Saccharomyces cerevisiae S288C: one gene and its partners. The gene in region 3 interacts genetically with the main gene of each other region. Each region holds a gene or a part of one and is shown on either strand. Other genes may lie near its edges.

Region 1 (6,332 bases), on a different chromosome or scaffold from region 3:
CAACTCGAGAGGTTGCCCATGCATTTTCTGTAGCCGTATTTTTTAATGGTGTGGCCTCTGGAGTTGAAAGATACTCATTGCAGCTTTTCTTATTAGGCGTAGTTTGCACACTACTTTGAAGAAAACTTTGATCTGTTTTTAAAGACAAATCTGGTCTTACTAACTCCACTTTGCTTGAGCCGGGATTGTAACTACTTTGATGAAGATGACCTCCATACTTCCTTACAATATCTTTGAAAGGCTTCTCCATTTTAAGAGATGTGAAAGATGGACTAGGTGACATTTTTTTCAGCGGTCTAGTACACGGAGATTCAAGTGACTGGATATCTCTACCTCTTTTGAAGGAGCCATTGCTGCTTACGCGTTCTAGTTTCATTTAATGGGTACTTTACTAACAGAAAAGGAAAATGATAAATTATCAAACGAAGGGAATTATTAGTTCTAAGTGAAAGGAATGGATGGATATTAAACCAAAAAGGGATATTAAACCAAATTCAAAGAATAAAAGGAAAAGACAGGTATAAGTTCTAGAAGAAATAAACAGAGAAAAAAATGATATGATAAATAAGTTATTTTTGTACAGTTAACACATATAGTTTTAAAACTTTTTGAACGTTTTTGTTAGTTCCCTTGGGCCTTAATTCCGTACTTTAAAGTGTGAAGAGTATAGTCTATAGGACCCTTATAAAGAAGGGTTGCTATATATATATATATCCACAACTATACTCCCTTTCTTTCGTATATCTGAAGGTATCCTACTACTTGAAACAAACTTGAAGAATGGTTACTGAACAAAGGACAAGCATAAACACTCCAAGGCAAGGCGATACAAAAAACACCAGCAGGAATAAGATGATTGATGAGACATCCTAAGTCCAATAGAAGAAACAAGCGAGAAATAGCGGAACCAGGAAACCGAAGTTGAAGGAAATTCTTTCTTTCAATTAAGCTTTTTGTTACCATTTAGGAAACTTCCACGGTGTCATAATTGTGTTTTGTTTGTTTACTTCTGCAAGTTAATGAAAATCCTGGCGGACGACAGCCAGTAATGGCCGGAGAGTGCTTTATTTTGCCCAGCAAAAAAATTTTGCGAGTGTAACAAAGAGCGCGAGAGCAGACTACCACTAAGAAAAGCTTCGGGCAATGCGCAGCAAAAAATAGAAAAAAATGAGCAAAAAAGAGAAACATATTTTAACATGGTCTCCGTGCCTTCGGCGTACCCAGACAATTACGGTTAACACCCACAACGTCAAACAAGATAATATGTTCCACGCTTCGGACTAGAAAGTGACATATCACATGTATGGTAGTATCGTAGGTATAACATCCTTCCGCCATCAAACCCTTGTGGCCTATGAGTGCCTATGCAGGTAATTGCTCCAATAAAGATTAAGCAATTTTTTATCCCATAATTAATTGTCGCCAACCCAACCGAACCAATCCTTTACAATTTTTCACCTTACGCCATAACAAAAATGAGACAACCCCGCCACCTACTACTGATGCAATTATTAACACGTTTTCATCCGTTTATATTTCTCTCCGGCCGTTCAGCACCGGCTTGACCAGCCGGTGCTGAGGACAAGAAAAACACAGCGAAAAAAGGTGGGAGAACGAAGCTTCCGCAATTCTCACACACCAAAAAATGAGTTACCGGCCGTCTCTTCTTTTGCCCCTCGCATATAATGGGATTGCGAACGGAGAACGACAGCAATATAACAAGCGTACGTGATCCCTTTCATTCTGTTATATTCGAGAATAGTTGTTGACAGTGGAGATAACTCCGAAAATATCATGAAAAAGAGGGTTATTTCCGTTCGTCGGGACATTGCTGTAGAGCTCTTCAATGGCCACAACTTGGGAGCGTTAATATGCAATCAAGTTGTAGGGAAGATTATATCTCTCCAGGGATTATTACCTGGGACACAGAGCTCTTTTCCTTATCTCATCTCACGCATCTAGACCCTGCTAGCCGTCGTTTCTTATTTGAAGCGTTAATCACCCTCACTTTTCGTCCGTAGCACGTAAAAAAGAAAAATAGGGTACCGTTTACCTGTCGTTAATATGCAAGTCATTAACAATCCAGCCCAGTACTTTATTTGCTATGGCACGGCATAGGCGCAGGGAGTTCACGATTTGGTCATCAATGATTATCACGATATGGGGGTCCTTATGATCTTGATGTTCTTTCAACTGCTCTTTGTTTCTTTTTTTTTTGTACGACAGTTTATGTGTTAAAGAACACATCCACTCCAATTTTGGGTCGTTTATACTTTTGTTTCGCTAATCTTAAGCCAACCTTGAGTTTATACCTAATTATATGCCACGTTAATGCACAAAACCCCTCGTAATAAACTTTCCTTGGAAGACTTTCTTTTTCTATTCGACGCATTTGGTTACATATCTGTTGGGAAAGAGCCCTTCGACTGCAAGTCCGGCATCAAGAAAGCTTGACATCCAAAGAAGCATTTAAGTATAAATAAATGAGACCCATTCTATCTTCTCAAATAAATCTTTTACAAATATGTGAACGTCAAAGCGCATACTTAATAAAAATTTATACTCTACACCACCTTCGTTATTACTTCACTGAAGTTTCCCTTTCCAGCAAGATATGGGCAAATTTGAGCAAAAAGAAAGAGAAAGAATAAGCACATTTAGTTTTCCTACTACGGGCAGTCAATCTAGTACATCCATTAAATCACTTGGCAGCCCACTCTATGGACGTTTCAGCTCTCTCTCTTCAACAGAATCTCAGTTCGATAGCAGCAAACAACCCCATGAGTACGAAAAGAGCTTTTATTTTGAAGAGTCTCAAGGCGAAGCTCTGTTCAACAAGCTGAAGACCTACTCTTTCCCTGGAGACAAGGATGGTGTGAAAACGAGGAGAAATTCCTCCATATGTCCAAGAAAGCCTAATGCGGTATCACCTTTAAGGGTAGAAAGTAATGAATTATCATCACATTCGCATTCACGTTCATTATCACACGAACTTACAAAGCCTTCAGGGCGAAGGAAAAGTTACCACAGAAAAAGTCATGCAATCTCATTCAGCAGGTCTTGTAAGCCAAATTTCATTGACGGGTACGATTCTAATTCAAGCATAGGCGTCAATTCAAGAAAAACTTCATTGGCAAGTTCTTTCTTGGACAAAGAATATCATTCTTCACCGGATACTTCATATACCCACCAAATGTCCCCGAAAAACACAATCATGAATACCAATGAACAATTAAGAAGAAACGCAAGCGGTAGATTCGGGAGTTTGAAAGAATTCGCTGAAAAAAATCAGATAAATATTGAGGGCAAAATTTTTGCTCATAAAGTGGAAACTGGAGACATATTGCAACCACTAATTGACTTAGATATTGACAATAAATGACTGGATCATTTGTCTCGCATTTTTTTTTTTCGTTTGTTTTGATAAATAAAGGACTTAATGTTAGTTTTGATAATGTTAAATGAATATATAAAAATAAACCATGTAAAGAGTATTTTGTTACGCTGTTTCGTTATAGCGTTATGTCAGTGTTATTATTTCTTATACGCGGAAAAGCCTGATCCATTCTGTTCTGAAACCGATCTTCATATTTTAAATTTCGCGAATTAACTAAAAAAAGAAAACAAACAAAAACTCGTTTCAAGTATTGCCAATGATACAAACAAAACGTTTCAAAGTATCTCCTCAACTGACGGACTTTGAAAGAGCCCGAAGATTTAAACAATGGACTGGGCAATCAAAGCAGCTAGGAAGAAAACTCAAAGGAAGCCAGGCTCTACCCGTTCAATCATAGAAACCCTCGATGATCTAAATAATCTAACAACAGATGCACATTCAGAAATAAATCAACGATTGTACGAAAGTAGTGAATGGTTAAGAAATAATGTTTATATGAATACACTCAAGTATGAAGACAAAAAGATGGAAGAGTCTTTAATTAGCCCCGAAAATACGCATAACAAAATGGATGTCGAATTTCCTAAAATGAAAGGAGAATATGAACTTTCTAACTCCCAGAATGATGCCGCAAAAGACGTTACTAAGACACCCAGAAATGGATTACATAACGATAAAAGTATCACGCCTAAATCACTCCGCAGGAAGGAAGTCACCGAAGGAATGAATAGATTTAGTATACATGATACCAATAAAAGCCCGGTTGAGCCATTGAATAGCGTTAAAGTCGACGCCAATGAAAGCGAAAAATCCTCACCATGGTCACCTTACAAAGTTGAAAAGGTTCTAAGAGAATCCTCCAAGACTTCGGAGTCTCCGATTAATACAAAACGCTTCGATAATCAAACATGGGCGGCTAAGGAAGAAATGGAGAATGAACCTATACTTCAAGCTTTAAAGAAAGCTGAATCAGTAAAGGTGAAACCACCACCGAATTCTGGGATAGCGAGATCTCAAAGAAGGTCGAATATGTTTGTTCCACTGCCGAATAAAGATCCTCTTATTATTCAACACATTCCACCAACAAAATCTTCAGGATCAATACCAAAAGTACGAACAGTAAAGGAATCACCAATCGCATTTAAAAAAAAATCTACGATAAATAGTCCTGCTATAAGAGCTGTGGAAAACAGTGATACCGCGGGATCTACAAAAGCATCCAGTGTTTTCGATAGGCTATCATCTATTCCAACAAAATCATTTGAAAACAAAATTTCCCGTGGAAACGTTGGTCACAAATACTCCTCTTCATCAATCGATTTAACAGGCTCCCCCATGAAAAAAGTTTCTCAAAAGTTTAAGTCAATAAACTCCACGGATACTGATATGCAAGAAGCGTTAAGAGATATATTCTCAGTAAAAAATAAAATAACCAAAAATAATTCACCCAAAGGAAAAAACTCTCGAAAATCCTCTATTCCGAGGTTTGATAAGACTTCTTTGAAGCTAACGACACACAAAAAGCTAGCAATCATTGCAGAACAGAAAAAGAAGTCCAAACACTCTAGTGATGTTCATAAAACTGGTTCAAGACCGCACAGTATTTCTCCAACAAAAATAAGTGTCGATTCAAGCTCGCCATCTAAAGAAGTTAAAAATTATTACCAAAGCCCTGTAAGAGGTTATTTGAGACCAACAAAAGCGTCTATTTCGCCTAATAAAAATAAAAATTTAACAACGTCGCAAACGCCACATCGTTTGAAAATTAAAGAGAAAACATTAAGAAAACTTTCTCCGAATATTGCTGACATCTCCAAGCCAGAGTCTCGTAAATCCAAAAATTATCGGCTTACAAACCTTCAATTACTTCCACCAGCAGAGGCAGAACGAGATGACTTAAAAAAAAAGTTTGATAAAAGGTTATCAGGAATTATGAGGTCTCAACAGGAACATCATCGGCGTAAACAAGAGAAACAAAAAAGGATGTCGCATTTGGAACAAGATCTAAAAAAGCAAACAAGCTTTAGTAATGACTACAAGGACATACGTCTAAAAGAATCTTTGGCTCCTTTCGATAATCATGTGCGAGATACCATCAACAAAAATACTGCATTTAGTACCGACAATATATTGGCCACAATAAATACAGTTGACCATCGAGAAATAATCGGAAATGTGACCCCAAAGATAGCCTCTGTCAATGATTCTTTACCAGAGATAAATACTGATTCTGAAGATGAGGCTAGCGTAACTTTAGCGGCATGGGCTAAATCCCCGTATTTGCAAGAGCAATTGATAAGACAGCAAGATATAAATCCACAAACTATCTTTGGACCAATTCCGCCTTTGCACACCGATGAAATTTTCCCAAATCCTAGGCTAAACAGGTTGAAACCGCGTCAAATTGTGCCCAAAAGGTCTTGAATTCGATTACCCCAGAAAAGAAAAATTCAAACTGGTTAACATTAAATCAAGTACACTTTAAATACTCTGGTATTCCCCCTGCATTACGTATATCGTTCACTTTCTTTACTTTTCCTTCTTGCTTTGTTATTTCTATCTACAACTTTGCGTTACATATTTTTAACTATTTGACACTTCACACAGATCTTCTTTCTAAGGCTTTTTGCTTATCCCACTTGGAAATCCACCCTTCACTTTCTACCTTTGGCACAATATATATTTTCAAAGCGTTATCGAACAATGGTACATCTGGCGACTCTTTCTTCAAGATATCGTGAAATGTCAGTTTCTTACCAGCTTTAATCAAACCACCTGCCTTTGTTTCCATGAACACCAACACTTTCTTTGGTGTGAAGTTTTCCTTACCTTCTTTTTTGAAGCGTTCTTGCGGCCCTTCCAAAACTAGGTCAACAAGTTCTTGCACAGTAGTTAACTCACTTACTTCACCTACAAAATCAAATTCATCTTGCGT
Region 2 (5,603 bases), 520 kb from region 3:
TGGATGCCGACAGCTGTTGAAACATCGTTTTCCCCTTTTTCTTCGAGTTCCTTCATTATTATAGAAGGCATATGTCACACCGTGCCAATTTATTTGTTTGCATTTTTTTTTTTTCACCTTTCCGACAGGCGCCATTGTTATCACATTAGCAGAGTGAATTGGTTGCGATTTGAAAGAGAAAATGTATCAAAAACAAACAATTGTACCCCACCTCCCCCTAACAATCATCCATTCTGCATCCAGTAGCTAATGATAGTAAAATATTTGTACAAATTACGTTTTATTGTGTCTTTTTTGCAATTTCTTTGAATGCAATGTTGCGTATATCATTGCATCTCAGCCAAACGGTTTAACCGTTTCCAGAAAAAAAAAGTCTATAATATGCTATGCTGTTACAACTATAATAGAATTTTTATATAGTGATATGCTTTTCTATAAAAAAAGGAATGTGAAAAATGAGGGATGCAAGTGGAACTGTAAAAAAAAAAGAAAAAATAAATCTATTAGCTGACTAGTGAAGGAAAGGTTTCAAAATTGAAATTTTGGTCATCTCATCATAAAATTCTCGCATGTCGAGATCAACATCAATCTTATCAACAAATCTCTTGGTTTTCCCTTTACACTTTGTCTTTTTGATTGAAACCAGCCCACAAGTTTCTAAAATTGTACAGATTTCCAAAAATTCATTTCTCTGCAATGGTGCTAAAGTATCAGTTTTTGTTATCGCTTTGATATAATGATCAAACGATTCGTCGATTGTAGCATCGGAATTTAGCTTCAGTGATTGAATTATGGTGCAAAGAATTAATTTTTGCTGGATGTTTAGTTTGGCTATCCTCGTTCTCGTAGAATTATTGTTCACGAATTTTGAGAAGACCTTGGCTATGTAGTTCAAGCCTATTTTACCTTGTGGTTCTGGATACGATTTCTTTACCGGAGAAGTAGTTGGCGTCAAAGGAACTTGCGCAGAGTTCAATGATCCTCTTGTTGGTGAAAGCAGAAACCGCTTTTCTAACTCATAGATTTCGATACTTCCCCTTAAGACATCAAAAAGTTTTCGAAGGTCACCCGTATTTCCAGCACACTTCTTTGCTGCGAATTTGATGGCCATCGGTTGGAAGATAATAGTGGGCAGACTACTCATTTTTTGAATGACGATTTCATACATTTGCTCAGCAGTGTATGGCTGAAAAACTATAGTTTGCGGTAACAACCCTCTGTCCAAATTTAACCTGGAAAGAAACCTATCTTTCATATCTAGACTATTAGCCATACCGATTAACACAAAACTCACAGTAGGCAATTTCGCCAAAAGGAATAATTCAAGAATAGTTCTAACTGATTGTGTCTCGCTCGTGTTAGCATGCAATAGCCTGTCCATCTCGTCCAACACAACCACAAACGTAGTTTTCTTATGATAAGGCTCTAAGAACTTCTGTAGATGCTGCATGTTTTTTATTTGCAATGTTGGGCCATTCAGATCTTGGAAGGAATCGAAAATCTTCTGGAAAATGGAGGACGGCTCTCCCAACGATATACAATTAATACTGGTTACCGCCACGGATTCTAGCCTTCCATCGGGCAATTCAAACCAGGACAAATTCTGCAAGTTCGGATTCGTATGTCTCAGCACGTCCTTCGAGCGTGGCGTGGAGAGCGACAATGGGAGGGACTGGAACTTCTGTCTTATAATCATATCAAGCTGGGCAGTCTTGCCAGTGCCAGGCGGACCCGTGATGTACAGTGAATCGGACCTGTGTTCAGAAATTGCCTTCGCCAAAAAATTCATAACTTGTTCGTACTCTGCTGTTCTTGCTGGCAATGCACCATCGCTGCTATTCAAGTTGACTAGCTCAGATGACTTCTGCAAAAGTGCCTTTGTCCTCAAAAAAATAGACTGTGAGCCAAACTGCAGTTTTTCTGGGGATGATTCTGGTGTAACATCTGTGAACTGCAACTTTTTTCTTTTCAAAGGTCGTGGAGGCGTTGCTGGAGCATCGTCAAATAGATTTCTTCTGATACGCTTAGTTGGAGTTATTGGTATAGCTGACATGAACGTATATGGTACTATTGATGAAAATAGTGCAGCGCAGTGTTCTGAATATTCCAAAATTGTTCTTCCAGAGAATATACCTCTACTATATAAATGAAAAAATAGACTAACTAATACTATTTTTCAAGATGGCGTTATATCTTTTCTGCCAGCCAACTCAATTTCCTAAGTGGGTAATTTCCTGATCTGGAAACTCCGACGCGTGAGGCCTCGCGTCGCTTTCTTCTTTGGGTAATTCAGGGAAAACAAAGGAATGCAGACTAGCAACTAGTTTCAAAACACAACAAATCGCAAGCCAGACATATTTTGTTGAAACTACAGATATTTCTGCTGCTTTTATTACCTTGCACTTACGTGACGTGACGAAATATTAGTTCTAAACTCAGGGTCTTGGCTTACCCGCGTCGGCTTTACGGATTAGTAAACCGAAGGACATAAGGGAAAGAAAGGAAGCCAGAAAAAGAGGTAGAAGTATATAAGACTAACTGATATGAATATTAAGGTAGGATACCTTATCAATTTTAAGGAACTTGAGAGCTAAATTTGCAAGCAAGTATGGTAAGTGATTGGAAAAATTTTTGCCTCGAGAAAGCCTCTAGGTTTCGCCCAACAATAGATAGGCCTTTTTTTAATATTTATTTGTGGGACTATTTCAATCGTGCGGTTGGGTGGGCCACTGCAGGTCGCTTCCAGCCAAAGGATTTTGAGTTTACCGTTGGGAAGCAGCCTTTGAGTGAACCTCGTCCGGTACTGCTTTTTATTGCCATGTATTATGTGGTTATATTTGGCGGGAGGTCCCTGGTAAAGTCATGTAAACCTCTCAAGTTGAGATTTATTTCTCAAGTCCATAACTTGATGTTGACTTCTGTTTCCTTTTTATGGTTGATTTTGATGGTGGAACAGATGCTACCCATAGTGTATCGCCATGGGCTGTATTTTGCTGTTTGTAATGTTGAATCGTGGACGCAACCGATGGAGACATTATATTATCTCAACTATATGACAAAGTTTGTGGAGTTCGCAGACACTGTCTTGATGGTGTTGAAACATAGAAAGTTGACTTTCCTACATACATACCATCATGGTGCTACAGCTTTACTGTGCTATAATCAATTGGTTGGTTACACAGCAGTTACATGGGTTCCTGTCACCTTAAACTTAGCTGTTCACGTTCTTATGTATTGGTATTATTTCCTTTCTGCTAGCGGAATTCGTGTTTGGTGGAAAGCCTGGGTTACAAGACTACAAATTGTGCAGTTCATGCTTGATCTCATTGTCGTTTATTACGTGCTTTATCAGAAGATTGTTGCTGCATATTTCAAAAATGCTTGTACTCCACAGTGTGAGGATTGCTTAGGTTCAATGACGGCTATTGCTGCTGGTGCAGCCATTCTTACATCCTACTTGTTTTTGTTCATCTCTTTCTATATTGAGGTTTACAAACGTGGAAGTGCTAGTGGTAAGAAGAAGATCAACAAAAACAATTAACCAGTCCTTCTGTTTTGTTTTTTTCTGTTTTTCTTCCTATCTTGTATTTGACTTATATATAGACTGTTTTATTCGAAATAATCATTTTGCTTCGTTTATGTAATTTTTGTATTCATAAGCCAGTATTTTCTCTTCTTTTTTATTTTTTTTTTGGAATGTCGCGCCCAGGACAAAAACATATAATTTATTAGCCTAGGCAGTAAATAGTAGGCGAAAAAGATTGAAAAGTATTATACATGTGGAAATTTATTAATTTTATCTATCATATAAACTCATGTCATTATTCTGGCGATTCTAGTGTCACACCATTTTTTAAATTCAAATCAGCGACTTCGTTTTCTGGGCATCCCTCAGATATTTCAGACGTACTCGATGAACCCAAGCCTGAATTATTCTTGTAGACTTTTTTCAACAATCTTAACTTTCTCCTACCTGAATTTGTCCTCTCACCATCATCATTGTCATCTTCGTCGTTGCAGTCCTGAGTTTCAATATGCCCAACCTCCAAACTACGATTACTATATTCAGGGGCCTGCACATCTTCATTACATTCTATCATATCATCAGAAACATCTTCCTCCTCGTCAGTCTTATTAAATTCATACAACTTCATCTGTTCATCGTATATCTTTTTGATACGCTCATCATATCCGTGGCGTGACTTTTGGATTATTTCCTGTAGTTTAGAGCTGCCTAATCCATTGCCATCTTTATGACGGCGAATGTAAAATAGCAAATAAGCCGATCCAGCTATACTATTTTCTGGCGCAGTTTCAGTTACTCGAGAATCATCAAAATAGTACCATTTATTGTCGGCAAAATTCTTTACGTACGCGGTATAGTGCCCACCACCCAAACCACCATAGTGGTTATCTACTGCATACAGGTCATAGATTAAACCTCTGGGATCATCTTTATAGACAACGTACCTCGACAGATCCAAATCTGTAATGGGGAAATTAACCGTGGCATCAATTTTATCGCTAAAAGACCTTTGACTTTCAAACCTTTTAAGGTGAATTAGCAGAATATCTGGTGTATTCCAAAGTTGTATTTGTTTGGTAGCCTGACGATGTTCCTTGCATGTAGGGCAGTACCACGAATCGGTTAATCCTAGTATTTCTGGTTTGGAAAATAATTGGAGACAATCGTCCAAGGTTATGGTTCTTTCCTTAGCGTTAGATCTTTCCAACTTAGCGTTCTCCAACTCTTTGTTAGGCAAAGTAGCTGGATTTTCCCAGTTATATATTTTATCATCGGAAAATGCCTCATTTGAACCCAATTCGCTCCACTCACAAACAATAATATCATTCATAGAAAGAATCGCAAACGGAGTGGAAGTCAAGCTATCCTTAATTTTATCTAACGCCTCTGGCTTATCTGTTAATTCTGGCTCTGTACTTGCATCTTCTTCAACATCATCTGTTAGTTCCATATCTTCATCCCGATCATTAGTATTATTTACATTTTCATTATTTGTTACAGTTTCTTTATTTTCTTCATCATCTCCCGATTGGAAGGGCTTGGAAAAATTCTTTGCTTCACTACCCTCGGTATCTCCCTCATCATCCACTTGCATAAGGACCCCTTCAGCACAATCTACTAAGGATGAATAATTGTAGATATCCTTCACCACATCTTCAAGTTTATCGTCTATATCTGTAGCTTTGTCAAGGTTTAACTGGGAGATAGGGGTCCAGAAATTAGGCCCTGTTCGGTTATTACTAGCAAATTGCTGCTCTTTTTCTACAGACAGAATCTTGATGGAAAAAAAGGATTTATCCTTGTCAGTCACCTTAATAGACGTATACTGTAGTATATCTTTATATTGTTCAAATTCAACATCTGGATATTTTTCTACTAATAATGGAAAAGCATCAGCAAAATCGGTTCGATTTCCTACAGGTTCAGGAAATGGGATATACCCACCACTTAAATGGACAAACCTGTTTTGCAATTTCATTCTTATTGCACCTGGATTATTCAATTCATCTTCTTTTAACGTAATAAAGAAAGGGACTCCAAATAACATTGCATTTTTGTAGCCTTTTTCAATTCTAGT
Region 3 (9,088 bases):
GCAGTTCATAAATAATGTGCTTTCGAATCCATCAAATCAAAACATATGTACGAGTGTCACCCGAAGATCACCTGTGTTTGCCCTAAACATGCTACCCTCGGAAATATTACACTTAATATTAGATAAACTTAACCAAAAATATGATATTGTAAAATTCCTTACCGTTTCCAAACTCTGGGCTGAAATAATTGTGAAGATACTTTATTACAGACCGCACATCAACAAAAAGAGTCAATTAGACTTGTTTTTAAGGACTATGAAGTTAACTTCTGAAGAAACTGTATTCAACTATCGTTTAATGATCAAAAGATTAAATTTTTCATTTGTTGGTGACTACATGCACGATACAGAGCTTAACTATTTTGTCGGATGTAAGAATTTGGAGCGACTAACTTTAGTATTTTGCAAGCATATAACCAGTGTTCCAATATCGGCTGTTTTGAGAGGATGTAAATTTCTCCAAAGTGTGGATATCACTGGAATAAGAGACGTTTCCGATGACGTATTTGATACCTTAGCGACATATTGTCCCAGAGTACAGGGCTTTTATGTTCCTCAGGCAAGGAATGTAACATTCGATTCACTGCGGAATTTCATAGTCCATTCCCCGATGTTGAAAAGAATAAAAATCACAGCAAACAATAACATGAATGACGAATTAGTAGAACTATTAGCCAACAAATGCCCTTTGCTTGTAGAGGTCGATATAACATTAAGTCCAAATGTCACTGATTCTAGTTTGTTAAAACTCCTCACTAGGTTAGTTCAGCTGAGGGAATTCAGAATAACTCATAATACGAATATTACGGATAATCTTTTCCAGGAGCTTTCTAAAGTAGTTGACGATATGCCCTCTTTAAGATTGATTGATCTTTCTGGATGTGAAAATATTACAGATAAAACTATAGAAAGTATAGTCAATTTAGCCCCTAAATTACGTAATGTTTTTCTAGGCAAGTGTAGCCGAATTACAGATGCATCGTTGTTCCAATTATCGAAGCTGGGCAAAAACTTGCAAACAGTGCATTTTGGGCACTGTTTCAATATAACTGATAACGGGGTAAGAGCACTCTTTCATTCATGTACAAGAATACAGTATGTGGACTTTGCGTGCTGTACGAATTTAACCAATAGAACTCTTTATGAACTAGCAGACTTACCAAAATTAAAGAGAATTGGCCTTGTCAAATGTACGCAAATGACTGACGAGGGTTTGTTGAATATGGTTTCCTTGCGAGGCCGAAATGATACTTTAGAAAGGGTACATTTATCTTACTGTTCTAATTTAACAATATATCCGATATATGAGCTTCTAATGTCTTGCCCAAGGCTCTCACATTTGTCTTTGACTGCTGTTCCGTCATTTTTACGCCCCGATATAACGATGTATTGCAGGCCTGCACCCTCAGACTTTAGTGAAAATCAACGTCAAATATTCTGCGTATTTTCAGGGAAAGGTGTTCATAAACTTCGCCATTATTTAGTAAATTTAACGTCGCCCGCTTTTGGACCACATGTCGATGTAAATGATGTTTTGACAAAATATATTAGATCCAAGAATTTGATATTTAACGGTGAAACACTTGAAGATGCTCTTAGGAGAATCATAACTGATTTAAATCAAGATTCCGCTGCAATTATAGCTGCTACAGGATTAAATCAAATCAACGGTCTAAATAACGATTTTCTTTTCCAGAATATCAATTTTGAACGAATAGATGAAGTATTCAGTTGGTATCTCAATACTTTTGATGGCATTAGGATGAGCTCGGAGGAAGTTAACTCACTATTATTGCAAGTAAACAAGACGTTTTGTGAAGATCCATTTAGTGATGTGGACGATGATCAAGATTATGTCGTAGCACCTGGTGTAAACCGGGAAATTAACAGTGAAATGTGTCATATTGTTAGAAAATTCCATGAGTTAAATGATCATATTGATGATTTCGAGGTGAATGTTGCTAGTTTGGTAAGAGTTCAGTTTCAGTTTACTGGTTTTTTACTTCATGAAATGACTCAAACCTATATGCAAATGATTGAATTAAACAGACAAATTTGTTTAGTACAAAAAACGGTTCAGGAATCGGGCAACATAGATTACCAAAAAGGGCTTTTAATATGGCGACTTTTATTCATTGACAAATTCATTATGGTGGTTCAGAAGTACAAGCTCTCCACCGTTGTTTTGAGACTATATTTAAAAGATAACATAACATTGTTAACCAGACAAAGAGAACTATTAATAGCCCACCAAAGATCAGCATGGAATAACAATAATGACAATGACGCCAACCGGAACGCCAACAACATAGTGAATATTGTATCGGATGCTGGGGCAAACGATACAAGTAACAATGAAACTAACAATGGTAATGATGACAATGAAACAGAAAATCCAAATTTCTGGCGTCAGTTTGGCAATAGAATGCAAATATCACCTGACCAGATGAGGAATCTCCAAATGGGACTTCGTAATCAGAACATGGTTAGGAACAATAACAACAACACAATTGACGAATCAATGCCTGACACTGCCATTGATTCTCAAATGGATGAAGCATCAGGAACGCCCGATGAAGATATGTTATAATTGTATTTCATTGAATACTTACTGTCCTACTACACCTTTATTTTCAAAATCCCACTTTTCTTACTTATTTACATATAAATACATAATGCATTCACTTTGAAACTTTTTGCCTTAGCATGTATACGCTATAGACTTGCGGTATCAACGAATATACGTAACGTTGTCACGTCCACAGAAGATGCTATGTCAACAGTTCCCTGCAGATATCTGCGATGCGGCGAAACATTCTATACACAGTTTCAAAACTACAAAAAATACAAACCTTTAGCCTGTTTATCAAATTAGTTAGCTATAAAATGCCCATTTTCTTAGCAATATCGATCAATTGATTGTCATCTTCCAAAGTTTCAATAAAATTTGTGGCAGTATAGTAATCCCTTCTCAATATGTCCAATTTCTTATCACAGTCATCTATAAATTCGCGCTTAATAGATTGCACTTTTAGGTTCACCCAATTGTTGAATGTCATGTCCAACTCTTCTGCAGGCATTTGCTTAATCAAAAAAGCCAGATCACCGTCTTTGTCATTAGCTAGCGTAGCATCATTATTATTTATATATTTTAACAAATCATGGAAGTAATTTTTTACAAGGTGTCTATTTTCATCAATTTTAAACCATTCTGCTGCATTCGGTTCTTTTTCGTTGTTGCCCTCATTAAATGAACTTCCTTTCTTAGAATTATCAGCCAAACTTGTGCTTGTTTCCTTTCTTTGTTCTTCTAAACGTGAATTCCGTGGATATGAAGAGGTTCCAGACACCAAATTCCTTGCAACTGATGGGACTGGCTCAAATTCGGGTTTAATAACCTTTTTTATTTCTACAGTTGATGAATCTATAGGTATATCCAATTCCTTCCCAGAAAACTCTTCATCAAATAATTTTCTTGACTTGTTTTCTTGAGATGCGATCGGGGTTCCAGTCTCAAAAAGTAACATTTCATTATTTGGGGTCTCATTCTTCACAGACACATCTTCCAGTATTTTTATAGTTTCCTGCTTATTAGTAAAATACTTACCATCGTCAGTTTCTTTTTTGAGGCCAGAAAGCTCTTTGACTGCATGCAAACTGCGTGTGAGATTAATTTTAGGGCTCGCTACCGGCGTTGAAATAACGCTTGAGCTTTTTGATGATTGCTCAGATTGTGATGATGGTGAAAAATCGGACGCCGAAAAATTTAGATCTATATTGATGTTATCTAATTTTCTTTCTGTTGGAACAACTTTTCCACTTATTGATAGGCTTCTTGGTTCTTGCAAGTTTTTCCTTGGTTTAGGATGAATATCAGCGGGAATGCTGGATGTTTTGCTATTGCCTCTCCTTTGTTCCTCTTTGGGTATTGCGGTAATATTACTGGAATTATCACCACTTTTATTAGAATGTAATATATCTGGAGATTGCCGTACAGTTGAATCTTTTTGATGTCGAAATTCCCCGTTTTGTGCTTCCCTCTTTTCAGAGTTATCTCTAATTAACTCATGTGTCTTTGGAACTTCTGGGGATCCACCATTGGGGACCTTATCTCTGTCGATATCACCCAAATTCTGATCTACAATTTGCGTTCTTATAAGAATATTAGTACTACTGTCTCTACCTGTGAGTTTCACTTCACTGAAATTTAAATCTTCTTCAGAATTAACAGAAAATTTTTCGTGTTTAGAAGACGCTCCTTTTGTGTCTGTATTTATGCCAGTATCATCTTCTCGTATAACATTGTCATTATCTGAATCTATACCTTTGAGCAAATGTGATGAGGTTGGTATAGGTATGTCAAATGTGTTATGTCCTTGGTTACTGAAACTGAATTCATCTGTGCTGTCATCTAAAATAGCATTCTTTCTCCCTACATCTCTATTTTTTATGATATGGCTTGTAAAATCTATAACCAAATCCTTATCTTTGTTGTCTCCGTTGGCAGAATTATTATTAAGGGAGTGTTCGCTATCTTCCTCATCAAAGATTTTTCTAGGCGATATTCTCTTAAACTTTCTTTTCTTTTTTATAGGTGACGATGATTGGGTTAGCTGGACATTTGGACGTTTGATTTCTTTTGCAGTTGGTGTCGAAATAACTTCTTTCTTATCTGCTAAAACATCACGATTTATATTGCCCTCTTCTAATGTAGTGCTTCCATTTTCCATGTTGATTTGTTCTTTTTCTTCCACACTATTACGTTTTACATTTTCGCCTTGTGCTCCATCAAGCACACTTATATTATGTTGAATAACAGATATATCTGTCTTCTCATTATAATCGTCAAGTTGAGGACCAGTACTAGATGGAGGTGACTCAAATAAAGGACACTGCCTTTGAGAAGCGGTTTTCGTGTTGATCACTTCTCTTTTCCCATTTTCGCCTAAAGTTGGAGAGACTTCGCAATTTTTCGTGATACTGTCATTGTCATTTTTTATTCTCTCAAATCGATTACGTGTCTGAAAGAAATAACAGTTCCCATTTTGAGAAACCTTATAATGTCGGCTCATCGGATCGTCATTTATTGACCAACCTTGTAACAACTGTTTGCAATAAATACAATAACAGGTATCGTTCATAAGTGTTTTATCCATGCTTGGATCGCCTAAGCCTTCTATGCTGGAGTCGTATCGCATGAGTCCTGCATTCACCATCTTTTCTATACCCAGCGGATGTTCATTTTGAGAACCACTGTGAGGCCAGTTATCTTGAAAAGTAAATTTTCTTAGGTTTATCACGTTTTCATCATCTGGATTGCTGAAGTACTTGTCATTTTTCCAGTCCGAAACCCCCATATGGAAGCTATAGTCCGTCAATAGCTTATTGCGCAAGTAAATAAGGAGGCAAACTTGTTTGTTATCAGTAACAGTCAGATGTTGCCTCATTATATTGCTTAGAGTCTCAAGAACATCTTTTCTTTTGGATCTGCAGTCTCTCACATTGTATGTTTGACGATGACAATAGCAACATCTTACAGAGTCTTTTTTCAGTTTAGATGTCTTAGGATCGATCACTGGATCAAAGTAAAATCCAAGCTTGGCCATTGCCTGATACGGAATAACTTTAAAACTCCACTTTAACTTTTTTTTTTCAAGTGCAACACCATCTTGGAAAGTCCTTAACCTATTCTCCAGTTTGGTCATGCTATATCGCTTCTCCATTTTATCTATTTGACCATCCATAATCCCATGAGGTATAAACAACCGATGTGTCCTCGAATGTTGCACGCCCAGAGAACTTTAGCTAGGCTTTCAACACTAATATGAAACCTCAATCAATCTGAAAGAACTATAGGACACACTATAACTAAAAGTGCTTGATGACCTTGACCGATGTGTGAAATGGGTATGTATTGCAATATTATACTAAACTGTTAATCTTCGTATCGCGTGATGTGTTAGAAGCGTTGACTAGTGAAGTTAAGTAAAGAGATTTGGATCGTTAATGAAATAAATAACTATGTATGAATGAAAGGCATTGGATCGCATTGGAACGGAGAAAATTATAGAAAGCAGTAGATAAAACAATGTTGAAGGATTTGGTTAGAGAAAAGCTTTTGACAATTATGAATACCAAAGCGTATACTCAATTTAATCCAGAACAATTACTGCAACTAGAAAATGAAATGAAAATTTACATGAAAAGCGGAGACTCTGCACTAACAGAAGGAAACTATTTCTTCTTGATGGAAATGCTTTTCTATGTTTTGGTGTACCGAAACCAAGACGTTGATGCGCAAGTTGTTTATAATACATTAAGAGATCGTCTTGGTGAAAATTCGTATAAAATGGTAATCATGAAAGCCACTTTATTGCAGATAAACGGAAATGATAAAGGCGCTATTGAATATCTGGAAAATTTGTTGAATGATGATCTGGAGTATGAAACGGACTTCGTTACTTATGTCTCTATTGCAAAGAAATTGATAGCTATCAAGACAACTTCCAAGAACTTGAGCCAAGAAAGTGTTCTTAAAGAAGTGGTAGCTCTTACAGATAAATTCCCGCTTGATGCAGAATTGTGGTGGTATGCCAGCGAGATTTATTTCGAAATGGGCCAATTTGAAAAAGCCTGTTATTGTTTGGAACAGGTCCTATGTATTACACCATTCAATTACGCTTGTTTTGGTAGGCTAAGTGAGACTCTGTATTATGAGGCTCTACGTAGCAAGAAACAAACCAAGACCGAGCTCTTGGAAAAGGCATTAAAGAATGCTTTGAGGAGCGTTGAACTTAGCGAACTATACCTAAAAGGGTGGGCATTGGTTAACATCATTTCTCGCGAACTGGGACGTAATAAACAAAATGACTTGATCAAACTATCTGCATCGAAGCTAAAGGAAATTTCTGCGAAGTCTAACAATAAAGATAAGATTACCGCTGAATTAATTTTGAATAAGATATGAACGGAGCCAAAATTAGAAGAAAAAAAAAGATAGGGTGAGAGAGGATATGAAAAAGCATGTATATTTTTTTTTTTTTTGGATTCTATTACTATCATTACATAAGCGTACAACAAACACTATTTGAGTTTGACATTTGGCTATTTTTTTGAGCATTTTTCAAACCCTCTATAAAATGATTTGATCCTGCTACGGGGTAGCCCCATAGTTCTGGTAATGTATAATCTTTTGTATTCGAGGTATAGTTTATTATTGTAAGACATGCATTTGAAGCAGTAATTCTTTCACGGCTGAGTTCTTTCCTCAGTTTATTGTTAAGTTCGTTGATTCTTTTTAACTTCAATTGTTTTATCTTTAAGGAAAGCTGTTGCTGTTGCTGTTGCTGTTCCTGAGGTTGTTGTAAGCGTGGAGAGTTTTGAACTGATGTCATTCTTAGAATTATTGAGAACGTTTGCGATTGCTACTATCCTAAAATTGACAGGTGCTGTCACAAAACATTTCTGTTCTCCTTGTTAAATATTGCATCAAACATTTAGAGCCTGAAACAAAAATCAACATGAAAACCGGGTAACAGGGAGACATTCACTCATCACATTGACAAATCATATTATATAGTGAAAAGCGTACGTAAATTTTGACTATAAAGCAAGATTTCAAGAGTTGCAGATGATATTAAGACTGTCATCAAGCCGGAAGAGAAGCTAGTACGAATATTTCTTGTCGTTTTTAATTTCTCTCTTTATACTCGTTCCAAAATTGTACGATGGCTGCAGTAAAACTGGTAATCTAGGATCACTACTGAGCATATTAGCATTAACGAATATTTCACTACCGAAATGCATATACTCTATTAGTTTTTTTTTTGTAAAGGAAAGTTATCAACATTCATTTTGACCCAATAAGTATTCAGAGGTTAATATTTTAGACGTGTCGCGCCCTACGGGGTTGATGAAAAGGTGGTATTTAACGAGAAGGGGGAGCAGATCACATGAAGTTATTAGGTAACAGCGGGAGACAAGACAGAAACGAAGTTTGAGAGAAAGGAACATCAGATCACACTATGGAACATCCAGCATATACATTGAGTCTTTTGACTACAGCCGGTGGCCTTATGGGATACTACCGTAAGGGCTCCATTCCATCTCTAGTATCTGGCTTAGTATTCGGTAGTGTATATGGGATTGCCGGTTACTTGCTACATATGAATAGAGATGGTGGGCTCGAAATGGCATTGGGTGCATCGACCTTACTACTTGGTGCTGGTGTCATAAGAGGCATGCCTTCCAGGTTCACTAAACCTGTCCCTGTCGTTTTGACAGCTTTGGGTGGGCTCGGCAGTTACTACTATTATAACAAATACAAGGAATTTTACCCTTAGAGAAGGAAGAAGACGCACGATATATATACGACCCTATATATATATATAATATGATATTCTTTTATGAACAAACTTTCTTTTTTTTTTCTTCGTTCAATTATTGACTATTTTTCTATCATTTGCTATGGGGAAAGGGCTCCTTCTTACTGAAAACGATGCAGCGGTTGGAGTGAGAAAGATAAGCACGCAAAAGCCCACTTGCTATAGCACTTGCTAGACGGCATTCTAGGGCATCCAACTGCTCCTCTTCGTCCTCATTGGCAGAACTATCGTGTTGTTTTGTTGCCAGAAGAATTTTCAAGGGCATGATACTTTTCCGATCATTCCCCCATTGCCAACATCGTTGTACCAACCGAGTGAAGACCACCTCTCGAAGTAATGTGATGACGACATGCAATCCTTGCGAAAGGAAAAATCTTTCATGGCTTGCTGCGGTAGCCTCGTACAGTGACAGGTTCCCTGAGATTACGCTACGCACTAATGTCGGATAAACTTGACTTAAGCGCTTACTCCTAGTAATTACTCCGGCGATTACTGGATGATCCCAGTGAGGGTACAACCTTTTAGTTAAAAGAGCAAGCGGAACCAGCAGTATCATTATCTTTTCCATTTGGCCCTGTAAGACGAACTTGCCGGTAGATTCCACATATAGCATTGGACATTGCAATAATGCTTCATTTAAATGGAAGAACCCGCGTTCGTGATCGTTTTCCAGACATCCGTAGTATTGACCTAGATAATAATTA

The links.
Region 1: of BIR1 (region 3) and SLI15, a mutation in one rescues a mutant of the other (synthetic rescue), as found in Saccharomyces cerevisiae (2 studies listed by BioGRID, with this or other methods).
Region 2: mutations in BIR1 (region 3) and CDC6 impair growth when combined (synthetic growth defect), as found in Saccharomyces cerevisiae (one study listed by BioGRID).

Annotation. Positions count from the first base shown.
Region 1 is NC_001134.8:550,593-556,924, reverse strand, and holds SLI15 (Sli15p), read left to right. Parts: upstream 1-3,724; coding exon 3,725-5,821; downstream 5,822-6,332. Other genes in the region: AMN1 (Amn1p), read right to left, coding at 1-376; ICS2 (Ics2p), read left to right, coding at 2,615-3,382; HSP70/90 family co-chaperone CNS1, read right to left, coding at 5,997-6,332. UniProt on the Saccharomyces cerevisiae protein: Component of the chromosomal passenger complex (CPC), a complex that acts as a key regulator of mitosis. Stimulates IPL1 kinase activity and facilitates its association with the mitotic spindle.
Region 2 is NC_001142.9:65,788-71,390, reverse strand, and holds CDC6 (AAA family ATPase CDC6), read right to left. Parts: upstream 2,054-5,603; coding exon 512-2,053; downstream 1-511. Other genes in the region: YJL193W (uncharacterized protein), read right to left, coding at 1-25; fatty acid elongase ELO1, read left to right, coding at 2,609-3,541; putative ubiquitin-specific protease UBP12, read right to left, coding at 3,822-5,603. UniProt on the Saccharomyces cerevisiae protein: Plays a crucial role in forming the pre-replicative complexes.
Region 3 is NC_001142.9:584,374-593,461, reverse strand, and holds BIR1 (survivin), read right to left. Parts: upstream 5,745-9,088; coding exon 2,880-5,744; downstream 1-2,879. Other genes in the region: SCF ubiquitin ligase complex subunit GRR1, read left to right, coding at 1-2,590; EMC2 (Emc2p), read left to right, coding at 6,089-6,967; STE18 (Ste18p), read right to left, coding at 7,062-7,394; TMH11 (Tmh11p), read left to right, coding at 8,025-8,342; YJR084W (uncharacterized protein), read right to left, coding at 8,458-9,088. UniProt on the Saccharomyces cerevisiae protein: Component of the chromosomal passenger complex (CPC), a complex that acts as a key regulator of chromosome segregation and cytokinesis.